4 linked regions of the Mus musculus genome follow. The protein of the gene in region 4 purifies or fractionates together with the protein of the main gene of each other region. This does not show direct contact. Links are inferred from orthologs where the notes say so. Each region holds a gene or a part of one and is shown on either strand. Other genes may lie near its edges.

What was found. Proteins that work in one complex are often made in the same cells at the same time.
Region 1: the proteins of Lin28a (region 4) and Krr1 purify together in Homo sapiens (affinity purification with mass spectrometry; 3 studies listed by BioGRID and IntAct, with this or other methods). This does not show direct contact. The link is inferred for Mus musculus from reciprocal best matches to the Homo sapiens genes LIN28A and KRR1.
Region 2: the proteins of Lin28a (region 4) and Zcchc3 purify together in Homo sapiens (co-immunoprecipitation; 3 studies listed by BioGRID and IntAct, with this or other methods). This does not show direct contact. The link is inferred for Mus musculus from reciprocal best matches to the Homo sapiens genes LIN28A and ZCCHC3.
Region 3: the proteins of Lin28a (region 4) and Cherp purify together in Homo sapiens (co-immunoprecipitation; 3 studies listed by BioGRID and IntAct, with this or other methods). This does not show direct contact. The link is inferred for Mus musculus from reciprocal best matches to the Homo sapiens genes LIN28A and CHERP.

The regions. Positions count from the first base shown.
Region 1 is NC_000076.6:111,971,238-111,975,494, forward strand, and holds the start of Krr1 (KRR1 small subunit processome component homolog), read left to right. Parts: upstream 1-1,457; 5' UTR 1,458-1,555; coding exon 1,556-1,637; intron 1,638-4,247; coding exon 4,248-4,257. UniProt on the Homo sapiens protein: Part of the small subunit (SSU) processome, first precursor of the small eukaryotic ribosomal subunit.
Region 2 is NC_000068.7:152,412,245-152,416,182, forward strand, and holds the start of Zcchc3 (zinc finger CCHC domain-containing protein 3), read right to left. Parts: upstream 2,801-3,938; 5' UTR 2,534-2,800; coding exon 1,331-2,533; 3' UTR 1-1,330.
Region 3 is NC_000074.6:72,472,434-72,476,640, forward strand, and holds the start of Cherp (calcium homeostasis endoplasmic reticulum protein), read right to left. Parts: upstream 2,801-4,207; 5' UTR 2,650-2,800; coding exon 2,625-2,649; intron 2,353-2,624; coding exon 2,179-2,352; intron 1-2,178. UniProt on the Homo sapiens protein: Involved in calcium homeostasis, growth and proliferation.
Region 4 is NC_000070.6:134,016,017-134,019,956, reverse strand, and holds the start of Lin28a (protein lin-28 homolog A), read left to right. Parts: upstream 1-1,140; 5' UTR 1,141-1,215; coding exon 1,216-1,246; intron 1,247-1,707; coding exon 1,708-1,904; intron 1,905-3,940. UniProt on the Homo sapiens protein: RNA-binding protein that inhibits processing of pre-let-7 miRNAs and regulates translation of mRNAs that control developmental timing, pluripotency and metabolism.

The sequences.
Region 1 (4,257 bases), on a different chromosome or scaffold from region 4:
TATTATGCTGTCAACTTAAAAAAAATAACAAGGGCTTGGAAGAAGTTGAAGTGAGGCCAACAGCCTCTTTCCAGTGAAAGGAACCCAGACCCACACACCCATGTGTGAAAAGCACTCTTTGAAAGAAGCTCGAAGCTCATAACCATTCAAACATAATACTAACTACATTTGATTCTCAAAGAGACTGGAATGGGTGCACCATTATGAGGCATCAGTTTGCATACAGAGAATTTCCCTTAAAATTTGTTCAAAACATAGTCGAATCCAGTGGTTACCAACCTTCCTAATGCTGCAACTCTTCAGTATAGTTCTGCATGTTTCTGTGATCCCTGAACCACAAAATCATTTCGTTATTACGTCCAACTTTGCTACTGTTATGAATTATAATGTCTATATACATGTGCGTTCTGATGGTCTTAGACGACCCCTGTGAAAGGTAGTTTGACCCTCTAAGGAGTCACAATCCACAGGTTGAAAACCACCGATCTAAGCACCTGAAGTATTGTTCTCAGTTTTACTAGGCATATGCGGGTACTCCTCTTTCCTTTATCTGGCTTATTGACCCATGTGCTTATTAAATATTTCCTGGAGGTTGGGGAGAGCATGGTCCAGAAGGAGAGGTCCTAGTGTGTTTTCAGACCCTGGTTACATCTCTTCACATCTTAGCATCTAATTTAGTGAATATATTTTTGTGCTAATATTTTTTTGCTGTTTTTACTGACTATATTCTAAGCCTTTTAAAGCTATGATGTAAGAATAATAAACAATAAAGTTTTGGTAATAGCTCCCTCCAGCCCCCACCAAAAAACCCCAAACATTTGAATGCTGAAGACCGGTGTGGTGGTACACACCTTTAATCCCAGATTCTGGAGTCATAAGCAGGAAGATCACTATGACGTTGAGGCCAGCCAGGTCTACATAGCATGTTCCAGGCTAGTGAAGGATACACAGTGGCCTCGATTCATAAACCCAAAATAAACAAAACAAGCAAGCAAACAAATAAATAAAAATAGAACAGAAAAGTCTTTTAAAACCAATCTGGAAGTTGAGAGATTTAAAATGCAAAACTCATGGTAGGTTTTCAAATGGGCTAAAGAGTGGTAGCAAAGTTTGGGTAGATTTTTGATACAATTCGCCATTTTCATTAGATTTCTAATCCCCCTCAAATAAGAATTTTAATAATTTCCCCTCCCTTCTCTCCCTCACCCTCACCCACCTCTCTTCTCTCTCCTCTCCTTCGCTCCCTTTCTCTCCCTTTCCTTCCCTTCCCCTCTCAAAAAAGAAGTTCCCACAGGGCTATACAAGTAGCTACAATTTAGAGCTTGATACAAGAAAACTACCATTCCCAGCGTGCAACACCGAGGTTGCAATGCATCCTGGGAAGGAAGTGTCACGCTCCCCCCCGTCCCCGCCCCATCGGCTTCCTGTTCGTCAGAGCAGAGACCACGCAGGTCTCATAGGGATTATCCGGAACTCGTTTTGCCTTTTACACATTGTAGCCGGCGGGATCTTAAAGAACAGTTCCACTTCCGGGGCCGCCGGAAGCAGTTTTGCGATGGCAACTTCTGCGGAGGCGCCTGCCAAAGAAGCTCAAAAACGTGACTCTCAGCCGCAGAAACAGAAGCGTGAGACCCAAGGTGAGGCAGTGCGAGACCCGAAGCCCGGAGCTGGCGGATCTCGAAGCATCTTTGTCTCTTTCTTTGGCCGCGCACTTGGGTTGAGCCTCTTTTAGGCTGTGCAGTGCCTGCGGTAGCCGGGGTAGCCGAGGGTTGCGGGTGTTGATGGCTGCGCCGGCCACGTGCAGCTAACGCAGTGTTTTTGCCAGCGACCGTCCCTGGCAAGTGTACCCGATGCGCCTTCTGTCCCCGGTAAAAGTGTGAGGACTCAGAGATTGTGGAAGGCGCGGCAGTTCTGCCTTGAGCTTTGGGGAGGGGAGGTTGAGAGGATGCGGATCAGGATCAGGTGGGAGAATCTTCGTGTCCTGCGAGCGCCGATGGTGATGAGGGAGGCGGACGGGGAAAGGTGGGGACGGAGCTCAATGGGAAGTTTTGTCAGAACTTTTATCTGATTATTAAGTTGCTAAATGACACAGCTCTCAGTCTTTAGCTCTAACCCCTAGTTTGATTTTTGGCTGCTCTAGTTTGATTGCTTCTTTCCGTTTTGATGAGAGTTTGGTTTTTACCTACCTTCAATTTAAAAAGAAAAATTTTTTTCTTTTAAAAACTAAGTACGTAAAATACGGCAGGGACTATAGACACCGGTAAAAGCTTCAAACCAACGCTTGAGGAATTGACAGGATGAGTAGACCATCTTCCTCAAGTTATCCATGTGCCAATCACAGATGCTATATAGCTTCCTTTCTGGTACCCGGAGTAATTCGTTCGAGCTTTCTGTCACCTATCTACAGCTATTATGATTTTTAACAAAACGCTTCGATTTTTGTCTCCTTTTGAATCATAGGAGAATGAATGGAGCTGTGTACTCTATGTATGTTGTCTGTGTCTTTAGCTTCTGATTCTTTACGATGCTGTGTAATATTTAAATTCCGTCGTTGGCGGACATTTGAGCTCTGCCTTCAGCTTGCTCTTGTAAGCACCTTTGTGCATGTCTTCTGGTAATGCCTCAGGGTCTCTGTAGGAATTTAGGATTGGAAACTCAATTGCAGGGTATCTTCAAGTTATGCTAATGCTACCGGAAGGAGCTGTGCCAGGTTTTTTTCTGTTTTAGGAAAGGTTTGTTTACGTTCAAAGCGTGAGGGTATAGTCAACCATGGAGGGGAAACTGGGCCAGCACAACTCTAATAGTTGAGATTGCTCATCGATCTAAATTTACAGTGATTTTTTTTGTTGTTGTTGTGTTTTGATTTTGAGGTCCTGGATGTACTTATATAGCTAGACTTTCACCCTAACCTAATAAGCAAGTGATATTCTTGGTCCTAAGTGGCCTTAGTTCCCTTCCCTTTCCTCTACTAGGGTTCACACATTCTGTCTTAGGAAGGTTTAACCCTGGGCCTGAGTTTGCTTGCTTGCTTTTTGTTTTGTTTTGTTTTGTTTTGTTTTTGTTTTTGTTTTTTTTTTTTTTTTGTTTTTCGAGACAGGGTTTCTCTGTGTAGCCCTGGCTGTCCTGGAACTCACTTTGTAGACCAGGCTGGCCTCGAACTCAGAAATCCACCTGCCTCTGCCTCCCAAGTGCTGGGATTAGAGGCGTGTGCCACAACCGCCCATGTTCCCAGTTTTTATAGGATTTTAGTTTGCAGTTTTTAAAAAGAAGGTATTGGAGAATGAGTGGTTTATGAGGACCCATTGTCAGGAGTTTGAACCAGAAGTGGCAGAGTGAGTGGAAGTAGAAAGTACATTTTCTTACCTGTGGCTAATAACGTGGGCCAAGGGCCTGCCTTTCAGACCTCGGTGGTTTAAGGACAGGATGACGTTTAAGCACAGATCTCTGGGCCTCACCCCAGAGATGCAGATTCACTCTGCCTGAGATGGAGCCCCAGATGGCCTTGCCCACAAACTCCCACAGGTGTGCTGACGCTGCAAGATCAAGGATGGTTCTCTTCGGGTAGAGTTAACGTGTAGCTATTGGATTTGAGGGGTTTCTAAAGTTCTGGGACAGGGAGTTTTGAGAAGTGAAGCAGGCTCTCCAGAGGTGATCTCATAGTTGTCAGGATTTTAGGCCATTTCAGCATTTGTCCTTCTGGCCTGTCACTCCTTTTGGTTTGAATATCTTCTATAAAGTAGAAATAGTAATAGTGGCTTTCTTTTATTGATGAAAGGTGTGTATAAAGCTCTTTGGAAATCCTAAAATTGTATTACAGTGGCTGTTAATTGACATTGTACACCAGAATCCATTTTTAGGAATTTTTTACACACACAGACATGTGGGGGTGGGGGTAGGACTGTACCAAGAAAGTCAGAAAGGCTATTAATAATAAGGGATAAAAGTGATAAGGTGTTTGAACCACTTTATTGTGCAGTGAAAGTGTCTTAGTAATTGCTGTCTACCGGTGCATCCCAGTTAGAGTGGGTACAGGGAAAGCATCCTTGTGATGAGGCAACTGCAATGTATTCAGATGATCCTATTACAGCATCATGATGATGATGGGGCCGTGGTCATGATGCTGAATAATGTAACAACCAGGGATGCGGATATGAAACAATGCATTGGTGATCTTCTGAAGATGTGCATAGAGTGCGCACGTGTGTGAAGGACCATTCCATGTGATGTGTGAATTCTTTCCTCTGTAGATGAGGCGGA
Region 2 (3,938 bases), on a different chromosome or scaffold from region 4:
GGCTGAGGCAGAGGTGCAAATGTAAACGTCTGCTAAGTTTCTTTACTGAGGGGAACCGTTTCTCACTGGTGACAGTGATAGTGGAAAGGGATGGCCCTGGAACATTCAAGATGTGGTACTCCGAGGGCTGATGCAAGCAGCCTGGAGTGCTCCTGGCCCCTTCCTTCCCTAGCTCCCAAGCAGCAGGGCGAGCTTTCTGGGCTCTTTCGGGATGATTTCTCCACACTGCTGGGGTCCGCACGGTGGAGAGCGGACTTTGGGCCCAGCAGTGTCGAGGAGATTGTTGTGAAGTGTGAGAGGTAGTGGGATGAGCACCGGGCTTGGGGTCAGGGGACTCTACTGTGGGCTATCTGAGGCACCGCGCTGTGTACTTTGTCCCTGTAATTTAACTTCTCTGGGTTCACTTTATCTGCTGGAAAACCAAAAGGTTAGTTTAAAACACCGTCCGGGGAGGCAAAGGCAAGAGTCGGGAGGGAGAGTTACTGCACGTTTGCAGCTAGCCTGTTCTCTGAATGCAGCCGGTCCAAGCCGGCCTACGGGAGACACACTGAGACCCTGTCTCAAAACACAAAACCAAAAGCAACCCGCCTCCCAAACTCAACAAAAACCACCTCTTGGGTCTTTTCCAGCAGGGAAGCCTAGGCTCTGTGATCTTGTAGAAACTCGGCTTCTTAGCCACCACATGGAGCTGTCACAATGGAGGGACATTTTTTTTTTTTTTTTTTTTTGCCACGAGAGGCCCTTGGCCACCATTCAGAGCTTATTCAGAATACACACTTCTAGCAACACTGTTTTCACAAAGTCTGATACCACAGAGAAGCAGCAAATAAAAAGGGCCCAGCAGAGAGTTGCAAAAGGTAGACACTTTTGACAGAAGCCAGTCGATACCGTTTTGATTCAATGAAAGACTTGATAAGAGTGTCTATCCCGCGTTGGGCCCAGTACCCTGGGCTGGAGGCATAATGACCAAGGCGGCCCAAAGGGCTAAAACCTTTTAAGGATTAAATGTATGAGGAGGGAGGTAGTAAAATAAAAAGTAGAGTGGGGAGGGGAGTAGACGAAAGTACCAAAAACAAATACAAACCGGGAGAAAAAAAATATATCTGTATGCAATGGTTCTGAATAGTTCTTACGGGCAAAAATTCACCATTTCAAACATGCCAAAAAGGAGCACACGCGGTTTAAAAAAGGCATAGAGAGAACGTCTCTGGTAGGTTTTAGAAATATCTCCATTCAAAACGATTAAAAAAAAAAAGGTTAAAAAAAAAGTTTTGGCACTTAAGGGAGGGGTAAGCTGGCAGTGTATTCACCCTGGCAGGCAGTCGCGCCTTCAGTGCCCCGCCACGCTGGTGAGCTGAGCTGTCACGGAATTGTGAACTGCTTTGGGACACTGGGCAAAGGCGTGTCCTCTTTTGCCACAGAGGTTGCACACGATGACCTTCCGGCAGTAAGGGCTCAGGTGCCCCTCTTCCCCGCACCTGAAACACCTGTCCTGCGTGCAGGTGCCGCTCATGTGGGTCCGGGAACCACACTTAAAGCACGTCTTGGGCTGCCCCTTGTACCAGCTGTAGCCCCTCTCCGCTCCCAAGAAGAAGGCCCCGGGCAGGTGCCTCACTCCGCCCTCCCCCTGGCGCAGCTCGATCTCGCACTTGTACTCCCCGGTCCAGATCCCGAACCTGTCGGTCACTTTCACGGGCACGGCCAGCACGTCGCAGTGGCGCTTGAGCCAGGTCACGATGTCCTCCACGTCCACGGTCTCGTTCCGGAAGAGGATGAAGAGGGTCTTCAGGCTGGACCTGCTCCGCCCCAAAACCACAAAGTTCTCCCAGCAGTCCTCCAGCTCTCGCTTCTCCTCGTAGACGCGGAGAAACAGGGCTAGCTTTTCGGCGGATCGGAAACTCACGTCGAACTCGCGGCTGCCGGGGATCTGAATGACCGCGTAGATGTCGTCAGGGTCCATGCCGATGGAGCGCAGGATGAGCGCGCCCACCACGAAGTCCCGGGTCGGACAGGCACTTTCGTCTCCCTGGAAACAGATGCGCACGAGGAAGCGGCCCTTACCCGGGCCGGCAGCCGGTGGCTCGTCCTGGAGCGGTCGCTCGGTGGCATCTTCGGTCGTGCCGGGCCTGGCGGGGGTCGCCATGGCCGCCGTCACCTCGGCCTTCTTCCTTCGACTCGGGTCTCCCGCGCCGCTCGCGCTCTTTTTCCTGTAAGCGTCTGACGCCTCACCCGTAGGGTCTCTGCGGCGGCCCTTTGGGTCCCCGCGAGCGGCGGGTGGGAAGTCGCCGGGGTTCGGGGTGGCCAGGCCCCCGGGGCTGCCGAGCCCGCCACTTGCACCGCTGCCAGTTTCGTCGCGCCGCCGCGGCTCGCGGAAGTCGCCCTTCTTCTCCGCCAGGTTCTTGACCACCTGGGCCCAGCCCATCTTCTCGCGGACGCCCTCGGGTTCCTCGACGCGGGCCACGGGTCGCGCGGGGAGCGGGAGCTGAGGCCGGCCCCGCTGTGACTCCTCCTCCGCTCCGCCGCCGGTGGCCATGTTACCTCTTTCCCAGCATCCTCCACTCGTTCCCGCGGTCCGAGGTGCCCATGGCGCGCTCCCGCTCGGGATGAGGGATGAGGGCCGCGGGCTGCGTGGGCGACTCCCCGCCCCCGCTCTGAAACCCGACGCTTCTGGCTTCCGCCCTCTTGGAAGTCTTGCGTGCGGGAATTCGTGCCGGCCGGAGACGGCTCGTCTTGACCCCGGCTCGCCTCCCCTCTGCGGACGAGCGCCCGCCCTACCGCTCTCGAGGGTTTGGCATTTCTCAAGCAGGCTTCAACTGCATTCCAGGAGCAGTGCTTCCTGCGCGCACTGTGAGGGCTTCGCTACAATCTCGCTCCTCTTTTGAGTGGCTTCTGTGAAATAGCAAAAGAAATGGCGGCCCCCAGATCTCATCACATTTTTTCCCCACCAATTTTGATAACCTAATCAACACTTTCCAATGTACATGATAGGCATTTTCTCCCTCTTAGTGGCACACATAATAAACCAGATTAGACCCGATTAAAAGTAGGTAAAGGCAGGTTTATTAGGAGGCAGTTCTCATGTGAGTCACCGATCTCACAGGTGGAGGTCAGCGAAGTTACACATCTGGGCTAAAGCAAGGGGGTTTTATAGAGTTTAGGGGAGGAATGGTATCCATACATGGTCAAAAACTAAGTCCCTGGGCAGGCACTTTTGGGTGGGTTGCTGGGAGATGAATGATAGCTGGGGAGAAGAGTGATATGTTAGCAGGAGTTTTCTTCAAGGGAGGAGGGGTTGGGAGAAGGAGGGCAGACTGAGTTTTCCTGCTTGCTCAGGAAATGAGGGGTTCCAGCCTAACATCCCAACCTCTTTGAGTATAGGGGCAACGATTCAGATCTGGCTACTTCCTGCTGAAAAGGGACAGCCTGGGGTGGGAGAGTCCGGAGTCGGCGGAGTCGGCGGGGTCCTGCTCATTGGGAGGTAGGAGTGTGGGAGCATTTGGTTGACTGTTACTTGGGAAATCCTATGAATCTCTTCCTGGAGGAAGAGGAAAAAGCATGGTGCTAACAGAAAAAACAAAATTAGTATCATTTGCCCTATGAACAGGGCTAGAAGCCATGTGAAGAGTGAAGACTAGCTTCAGAAGGGACAGTATGACAGGGTTTCCACTCCTGGAGTGGAGCCAGTGGGGTGTGGGCCTTCACAAGTGTTGACAGTTGCTGCAGGTGTGAGGCTTCTTTGTATAATAATAATTACATGTTTTCATGTTCCCCTTTAGGGGAACGCTCTCCCTGCTAAAGTTAATGACTCTATGATAGTTAGAAACAGTATGCGTCCAAGAGGGGAGACTATGTTCTGTGTTCCTCAACAAAAATGGTAAATGCTGAGACCTTCAGGACCGCCCTTGAAGCTGTGGAAAAGAACTCTGAGAACATGAGTT
Region 3 (4,207 bases), on a different chromosome or scaffold from region 4:
CACATGGTGGCTCACAACCATCTGTAACAAGATCTGACTCCCTCTTCTGGAGTGTCTGAAGACAGCTACGGTGTACTTACATATAATAATAAATAAATCTTTAAAAAAAAAAAAAAAGAAGAAGAAAACCAACCAACCAAACAAACAAAAAAGGGAAAAAAACTCTCTGTAGACCAAGCTAGCCTTAACTCAAGAGATTCACCTGCCTCTGTCCCCCGAGTGCAGGGATTAAAGGTATGTACCACCACACCCAGCTGACTAGTGCTTTACCACAATTCTTACAAAATGTCATTCTAGAACAGTCCTGGGTTTAGTTGACCTGAAGCCCTTTCTGAGCCTTGTTACTTCTAAGCAATGCTCATAGCTCCTCAGCAAAGCAGGTCCTCTCTACTGCGTATCTCCCTTGTGTCTAAACCCAATCTCTCTTGACTTCCACCACCCACCACCCTCAGCCTGCCTTGTCCCTGTCATGTCCAATATATTCATTCTACTGTGCTATGGCTGGCAGAATGTCCTCTTGTCTCCCAATCCCTAATGTGCCAAAGCTTACATGTATTCTCCATTTCCAGGTATGTTTTTTTTTTTCATTTTTTATTAGGTATTTAGCTCATTTACATTTCCAATGCTATACCAAAAGTCCCCCATACCCACCCACCCCCAGGTATGGTTTTAAGTTGAAAGCCTAAACAAGTGACTGTACAGGGGTGGGCACAGGCTTCCTGTATAGGGATATATAATAAGGCACGGTCTAAACTCCTTTCACTTACCATCCCTTACCCATCCTCAATGGCTCTACCTTCGACCTCTCCCACTTCCATGTTCATGATCACCACCTTTCCTAATTCCAGTCTGTCCACTAGAACACACTGCTGGAATCTGTTTCAACCGCCATCAGCTTTAGGATGGCTATGAACTTGGTGCTCTGGGGCTAAGGAATGACCTCTCTAAACACGCATGAGGACACAGACACTCTGATGGTGATGTCAACCTCTACCACAACTGAATAGGAACCAAAACCTTATGATCAATAGACTCTAGTCCTACCCCTCCTTGGCATATGAAAAACCCCTCAGTTCACATGTGTGATGTCTCCTCTCTGAATACATACCTTCTTCAAGTCCCTGTGCTCCATGGGCTCAAGTCTGCCTGCCCTACAAGCTTTCTATCAACCACCTACAATACATTGCTGGAGTATAACCAAGTATGTTTGGCATCAAAGAGGACTGTAGCTCAGCCACTATCACTCTGACTACTCATTGGCTTTGCAAGTCCAGACACTTATTTCCACAGTTTATTCAGAGACTAGAGAGCTACCCTAGATATGACAGATGTGAGTTCTGCTCTCAGAAACCATAAAATCTGCTGTTACTATTCAAAGCTTGGGTATGCTGAAAAGCTGATGCAGGAAGGCTGCTTTGAACTGGAAGCTAGGCTGGATAACATACTGCCAGGCCAACCTGGGATATGGTGTGAGGCCCTTAAAGACCAGCTGTGCTTCTTCACTCATTTTCCTTTTTCTTTTGTTTTTTTTTTTTTTTTTTTTTAGGCAGTCTATGTAGTCTTGCCTGTACTGGAACTTGTACAATCAGTTGGCCACAAACTCACAGAGATCGACCTGCCTTTGCCTTCTAAGTGTTGAGATTAAAGCGGTGGTCCCATCATCCCTGGCTCTAAACTTTTTATTATTTCTATTATTTTTAATCATATTTTTCTTGATGTTTAAATCTAGTTTACAAAACTAGCTCTAGAACAGTCAGGACTACACAGAGAAACCCTATCTCGAAAGCAAAAAAAAAAAAAAAAAAAAAAGGAAAAGAAAAACGTTGCAAAAACTAAAGGGAAAGCTTTTTGATCTATGCACCTGAAATGCAGAAAGCTATGGTCTCAGCCTGCAGAAAGGCTGCACAGTTTGCACAGTTCCCACCTTCCTGCAGATCCGCAATTGCCTCTGCAAAGACCACCCAGGGACCACTCCCGACCCAAAAGCCTGGATAGAGAATATATGATAGTCTCTCCTTATGACACACAGATCCAGCAGTCTATCTTGGTACAGGGCTCCGGGTAGGACAGAAGAACGGCTGCTCTGCTCTGCAGAGGAAACTTGCAACTCTAAAGAAATTGGCTGCGGCGGGGCCCGCATTGAACCCCGAGGCGGCTGAGGGCCTGAGGGGAACTCACGCTGTTGCTGCTCCAGTGCCAGCTTGCACTTGTAGTAACTGTAGAACTCGCCTCCAAACAGAAACGAGAACTTAGGGTTGTCCTTCTGCTTCTCCATCGTCATTTTCTCGAACTCGGGTCCGTTGCGAGCCACAAACTGAGCGAGCTTATCGATGACATTTCGAAGCTCCTGATCTGCAAAACAGAGGAAAAGGCGTCAGTGGGGGCAGCCTGACCCGGGGACCAGGCCGGGGTCCTCTGGGGCGGGCCACTGCAAGGCGGTGGTGTACGGGTCCTGACTAGGGCCAAGCGCGCGCCAGGAATGCGGGGAACCACGGAGAGGCCGAGGGAGGAGCGGCGAGGCCGCAGCGCGCTCCGTCACTGGCCCGGCAACGCGAGGAGGCACGGCTGGCCGGCGGGGGCACACGAGAAGAACCCAACGACCTCAGCTCAGGGACCGGCCTCACCATCTGGCGGCATCGGCATCTCCATGGCTGCAGCCACTGGCAACGTCCTCCGCCGCCTCACGATCGCTTACCAGCACCGGCCACAGAAGCCGGCCGGAAGTGGCGCGAAGGGCGACGTTTACGACGGCCTCGCGGGCCGCTTCGCGCGCCATTTACGGCTGTCGCTGGGAAACACCGGAAGTGAAGACCGGAGGAGGGCGGGAAGGGACTGCGTGAGGACTCCAGAGAAGGATGGCCTAGTGAGACGCATGCGCGTGAGCCTCTTTGCGCATGCGGCGGCCCGGCCGCTGTTCCCCGACGCGCTGGAGCGTGAGAAGCTGCGCCGGCGGTACTCTGGGTTTCTGCTGCGTTCTTGCGAACGCGTGCACTCCCAGGCCTCTGCGTCTTTCACATCCTTTTACGCCATCCAGAAGGCGGGATCGGCAGGTGATGGTTTTGGCGAATCACACCTCACTCGGCTCCTGTTCCGATATGCTCCTTCTGGGTAAGAATTTTGAGCATTGGGGCTCCACAACATCACATCAGACCGACGTGGAGCAAAGACATCTCTTCTGAAGCGACTATAGACGTTCTATGGAAGGAGAAGCGGAAGCTGCGTCAACACCCCATCCCTTCTGTTTATTTATATTATTACTTACTCCTGGTTTTTGAATATTAGGTCTCATAGAGCCCAAGCTGATCTCTAACTCCCCACACAGCCTTAGATAATCTTGCACTCCCGATCCTCCTCTTAGCTCTTAAGTACTGAGATGACAGGCGTGTGCCACCACCACACCAGGGTTACAGGATACTGGGGATGGAAGACAGGACTGGCTGCATGTTAGGCAATCACTGAGATATACCATCGACCTTTAGAAAGAAAAAAAGATTTATATTTTGCCGGGCATGGTAGCGCACGCCTTTAGTCTCAACACTTGGGAGGCAGTGGCAGACAGATCTCAAGTTCAAAACCAATTTGGTCTACAAAGAGTTTCAGGATAGCCAGGACTATACAGAGAAACCCTGTCTCGAAAACAAAGGTTTAATTATGTGTCAGGTGGGTTTGTGTACGTGACTTCAGGGCCTAAAGAAGCTGGAAGCAGGCACAGGATCTACAGCACTGGCATGATTTACTTTCTGAGTTTGTGCTGGCCACTAAGCCCTTAGTGATCCTTTGAGCCTGTTATGCCAGGGTCTCCGACTTTTCCTAATTGGATATTCTTACTGCTGGAAGCACCACACCACGATTATATGAGGAGGAAGGAGGAAGTTGAGCCTAGCAGGTATCCTGATCCCTATGCCCTTCCTGTAACTCCTGTCTTGCCTGCTGTGAAGCCCCTTTATAATGTCCTACTCTTGGAGCTGCAGAGATAGCTCAATGGTGATGTGCTTGTCATGGGAGCAGGACCACCTGAGTTCAGGTCCAAGAATTCAGTGTAAAAACCAGACAACAGCAGCACAGGCCTGCAATCCCCAAAGACTATTGTGACCTTGTAGGGACTCTGTGTGGCTCACAGTAAATAGAAGTCTGTATCTGCCCGGACTGTCTCCCTCATGCTCACCTGAGATAGTTCCAGAAGATTCTTTTTTCTTTCTTTCTTTCT
Region 4 (3,940 bases):
ATGGTGACTGAGAACAGGAGGGTCTGGGAATTAGAGTGTCCCGGGTCTTGGAGGAAGTGCCTCCACCCACCAATCTATTCTCTTCCACCAACGGATGGGACAGGACGGGACGCGGCAGGCAGGGGCCCGATGAGAACACAGCTACCACAGAGGGCATTCTTCGAGGTTTCCACATGCTCTCTCAGGGAGCTGTACCTGGAAGCAACTTTAGGTGTAGGCTTAGGAGGGAGCGAAGGACTCTTTGCACAGAATCAACTAGGAGCTTGTTTCTCACTGGGACAAACCCAGAGAAACTGTTGTTGAAATTTGGAGATTGAGGCATCCAGTAGCACCCAGAGACAGGCCGAGTTTGAGAGGCAGCACCTAGGTTAAGACAGATCAGCTCGGTGGGGTCTCCAGCCGCTTCCTTGCACCCCTATCCCGGCTTCCTAATGTCCAGAACTCCAGGTCTATCTAAGCACACGGAGGTGGGGGGTGAGAGCAGGTCAGCGCCAAGCAGCCGGGTCAGCTCTGAGGCCTGAGGGGAAAGAGGGGGAGGGGCGCTGAGGGGCTGGGGGAGGGGGAGGGCTCATCCATTTCTCCCTTGACAGGTGGTTTGTGTTTCTGATTGGACAGCGCCACCAGGCTCACACCTCCCTCCCCCAACTCTCTGGAATGTATAATTATCTGCCCGGGGGGTGGGGGTGGTGTGTGTGTGTGTGTGTGTGTGTGTGTGTGTGTGTGTGTGTGTGTGTGTGTGTGGTCACGTGGTTATAAAACTACCCCCCCCCCGTTCCCCCCCACCTGTGTCCGCTTTGGATGCCCGCATTGAGTCCTCAAAGTGCAGGATCCCAAATTCTGGGGTACTGAAGACTTCCAGTGCAAAAGATCCCCATCTCCAGATGTGTGTATGTGGAGGGGGTGTCAAATCTCAAGGTTCTGGGAAGGGACACCCCAGAGGTGTCAGAGACCAGAGCAGTGGGGGAGGGCCGAAGCCAGAGCCAGAGGGAAAGGGAGGGGTAAGGAGAGAGGGGAGGGGAGGGGGCTGCCCGCGGGGGGTTGGGTCATTGTCTTTTAGAATTTGGGAGCCTTTGAAAAGCCGTGGGCCCTCCCACCGCTATTGTGCGGGGGAAGATGTAGCAGCCTCTTCTCCGAACCACCCCTTTGCCTCCGGACTTCTCTGGGGCCAGCAGCCGCCCGACCTGGGGCCCGGGGCCACGGGCTCAGCAGACGACCATGGGCTCGGTGTCCAACCAGCAGTTTGCAGGTTCGAGCTTGCGATTCAGCGGGCACACCTTAGGGTGCAGGGAGCCCAATGTCTAAATAGAAGGGAGGTGGGAAAGTGTCCCACGGACTTGTCCGCGGGACCCCCAAGTCCCTATGGCCTCCTGCTTCTGGGGGCCATCTCTGGACTAGGGAACCCTGGTGTTCCAGTGGCTTGTACACCGAGCCCGTGGGGGCGGAGGGAGAGAAGAGGAGGGGCCTGTCCCTCCGCGTGTGCACGGGCAACTTGTTGTGGGAAGACAAGCAAAACTTTTGGGGCGTCAGCATCCTCTGTGTAAGCTTGGGGAGGCAGCCAGGACAGGTTTCTTCTTACCAGCTGCTTGGTAGCTGCCTCCTCCTGGGTGTCTATCCGCGGGCTGACCACCGAGATCTCCCAGACGGGTCCCTGAGAGGGCCTGCGATCCCTTGGCCCCCAGCTGATCACCTGGCCCTCCCTATCTCCAGGTGGCTGCGCCAAGGCAGCGGAGAAGGCGCCAGAGGAGGCGCCGCCTGACGCGGCCCGAGCGGCAGACGAGCCGCAGCTGCTGCACGGGGCCGGCATCTGTAAGTGGTTCAACGTGCGCATGGGGTTCGGCTTCCTGTCTATGACCGCCCGCGCTGGGGTCGCGCTCGACCCCCCGGTGGACGTCTTTGTGCACCAGGTGAGACTCATTCTGGAACTTTGCTAGGGGAAAAAAAAGAAAAAGGCTGGGAGTTCCGAGGTACGGCCTTGGCTGGTGGCCCCTCCTGTCGGATTGGAGGAGATAAATACCCCTCATTGTGCGTCCCCATATTTTTCGGGACACCCCAGTTTTGAGTTTGTAGTAACTGCAGTTGTGCGAGGAGGCACTGCTGACTACCAGCACCCCCTCCCCGCCCCCTTCCGGGAACCCCTCCGGCTTACCACGTGTCTATTACCTCTTTCCCCTGGGAAGGGAGCAGGGGGCAGGGAGGTGACCCCATGTGGCAGAAACTAAGGTTGTATTGTGCTTGCCGGTGGGGGAGGGCCAGCAGGCCGACCAGGGAAGCACATGCAGGGCCTGAGCCGGGCGTTAGCGCCCTGAGTTCTAAAGGTCTGAGTCTAATTCATAGGGAGGAGAGAGTGTGAGCCATTTGCTACCCAACCTACGGGCGTGAACCTGCGACGTCAGGTTCTTCCCGTTTCAATGCAGACCTCAAGTCAGGTGGCCACCCAAAGCCAGGTCCTGTAGCCAGTGTAGGTTTGGCAGGTCCCGGAAGGATCAACGTGTGAGCTGAAAAGCTCCCCTAGAGGTCTGGCTACAGATCAGGGCTGGCAGGCACCTCTAGCTGTCCACCCGGTTCTGCCAGGAAGGAAGACCTTAAGATCCCAGGCCTTCATTCCTTGGCCGTGGCAATCCCAAGTTCGCAGTTAAAGAAGGGCTACACAGTAGGGAGTGAAATTCAGTGTCGAGGGGGCAGGCGGTAGAGGAAGACTGGCCTCTGGCCCTATTCTCCTCAGCTTGGCATTTATGGCCCCAGACAGCCATTGATTGCTGTCCCTAACATTCCTAACCCTAAACAAGGAAGAGAGTAGAGCCTTCAGGTTTCCCTCTTCCCGGCCATTCCCTTTCTTAATATCCTACCGGGGGCGGGGTGTGTGTGTGGGGGAGTGGTACCATTCCACGCTGGAAAGGAAGTTACTGCTCCTGCCCTTTTCCACATTTGGTGGGTTAAGGCTGGGCCAGGAAAGAAGAAAATTGCTAATCCCTGGCCTGCGAGCTTGACACCCGGGCCGGGCAGGGAGGGGTTACTTCAGGGAGGTTAGCTTTAGGAGCTGTGGGGGAGGGGAAAGGAGGATGTGGGGATTAAGGGTTGGAGCCTGAGGGATGGCGTTCTTGAGGGGGAGGGGTGGGGAAGGAGATGCTGGGTGGACTGGTTGGGGGCTGCTGGGAAGGCTGAACCCTGCCCTCCAGTCAGAGGTTGGGGAGTGGAAACTAAGTAGATTTGGGTTGATGGAATTTGAGGACCAGCTCTTTGCTGTTGGTGTCCTAGGGTCACTAGGCTTCTGGAATATGTGTTTTGTTTCTTTTTTAAGGGACCTGGAACAGTACCTTTAACTTTTCTGCACCGCCCCCCCCCATCACCATCACCAGACTGCTGGTTTCTGGATGGTGGCTTTGTGCCCCCCATCTCATTTGCATATGTGAATGATAACCCACAGGAAGTAATTGTGAGGCAGAAGGGAATTGGCCTCTTTAGATCTATTAAATCACTTTATTGCAGGAACCCGCACTGAATGGCCCTCCTCAGCGGGGGGCAAGCCTCCCCGATTCGGCCATTTATCTGATCCCAGAGATGAAAATTTCCTGGGCTCGAGATGGTTTGGGGAACTTCTTCAATTTTTGGAGGCTGGGGTGTAAAGGTGGCTTGAGCACTTTCCTGACTCCTTGCAAAGGCTAAGTAGGGAGGTGCCCGGGAGAATAGGTACCTTCTGATCTGAGGTTCATTGCTGTTGGGACAAATGGAGACGCTGTGCCTCCTCACTTAGGAGCCATACCAACTGGGAAGCTATAGGACATCTCAGGAGGCAGCCTTCAGTACAGACTGGCTTGGAGACCTGCCTGCGTTCGTTCGTGGGCTTTGACTTTGGTTTCTTTGGGGTTTTTTTGTTTTTGTTTTGTTTTGTTTTTGAGACGAGGCTGGTGGTGGTGGAGGTGTCTCACTGTGTAACTGTGGC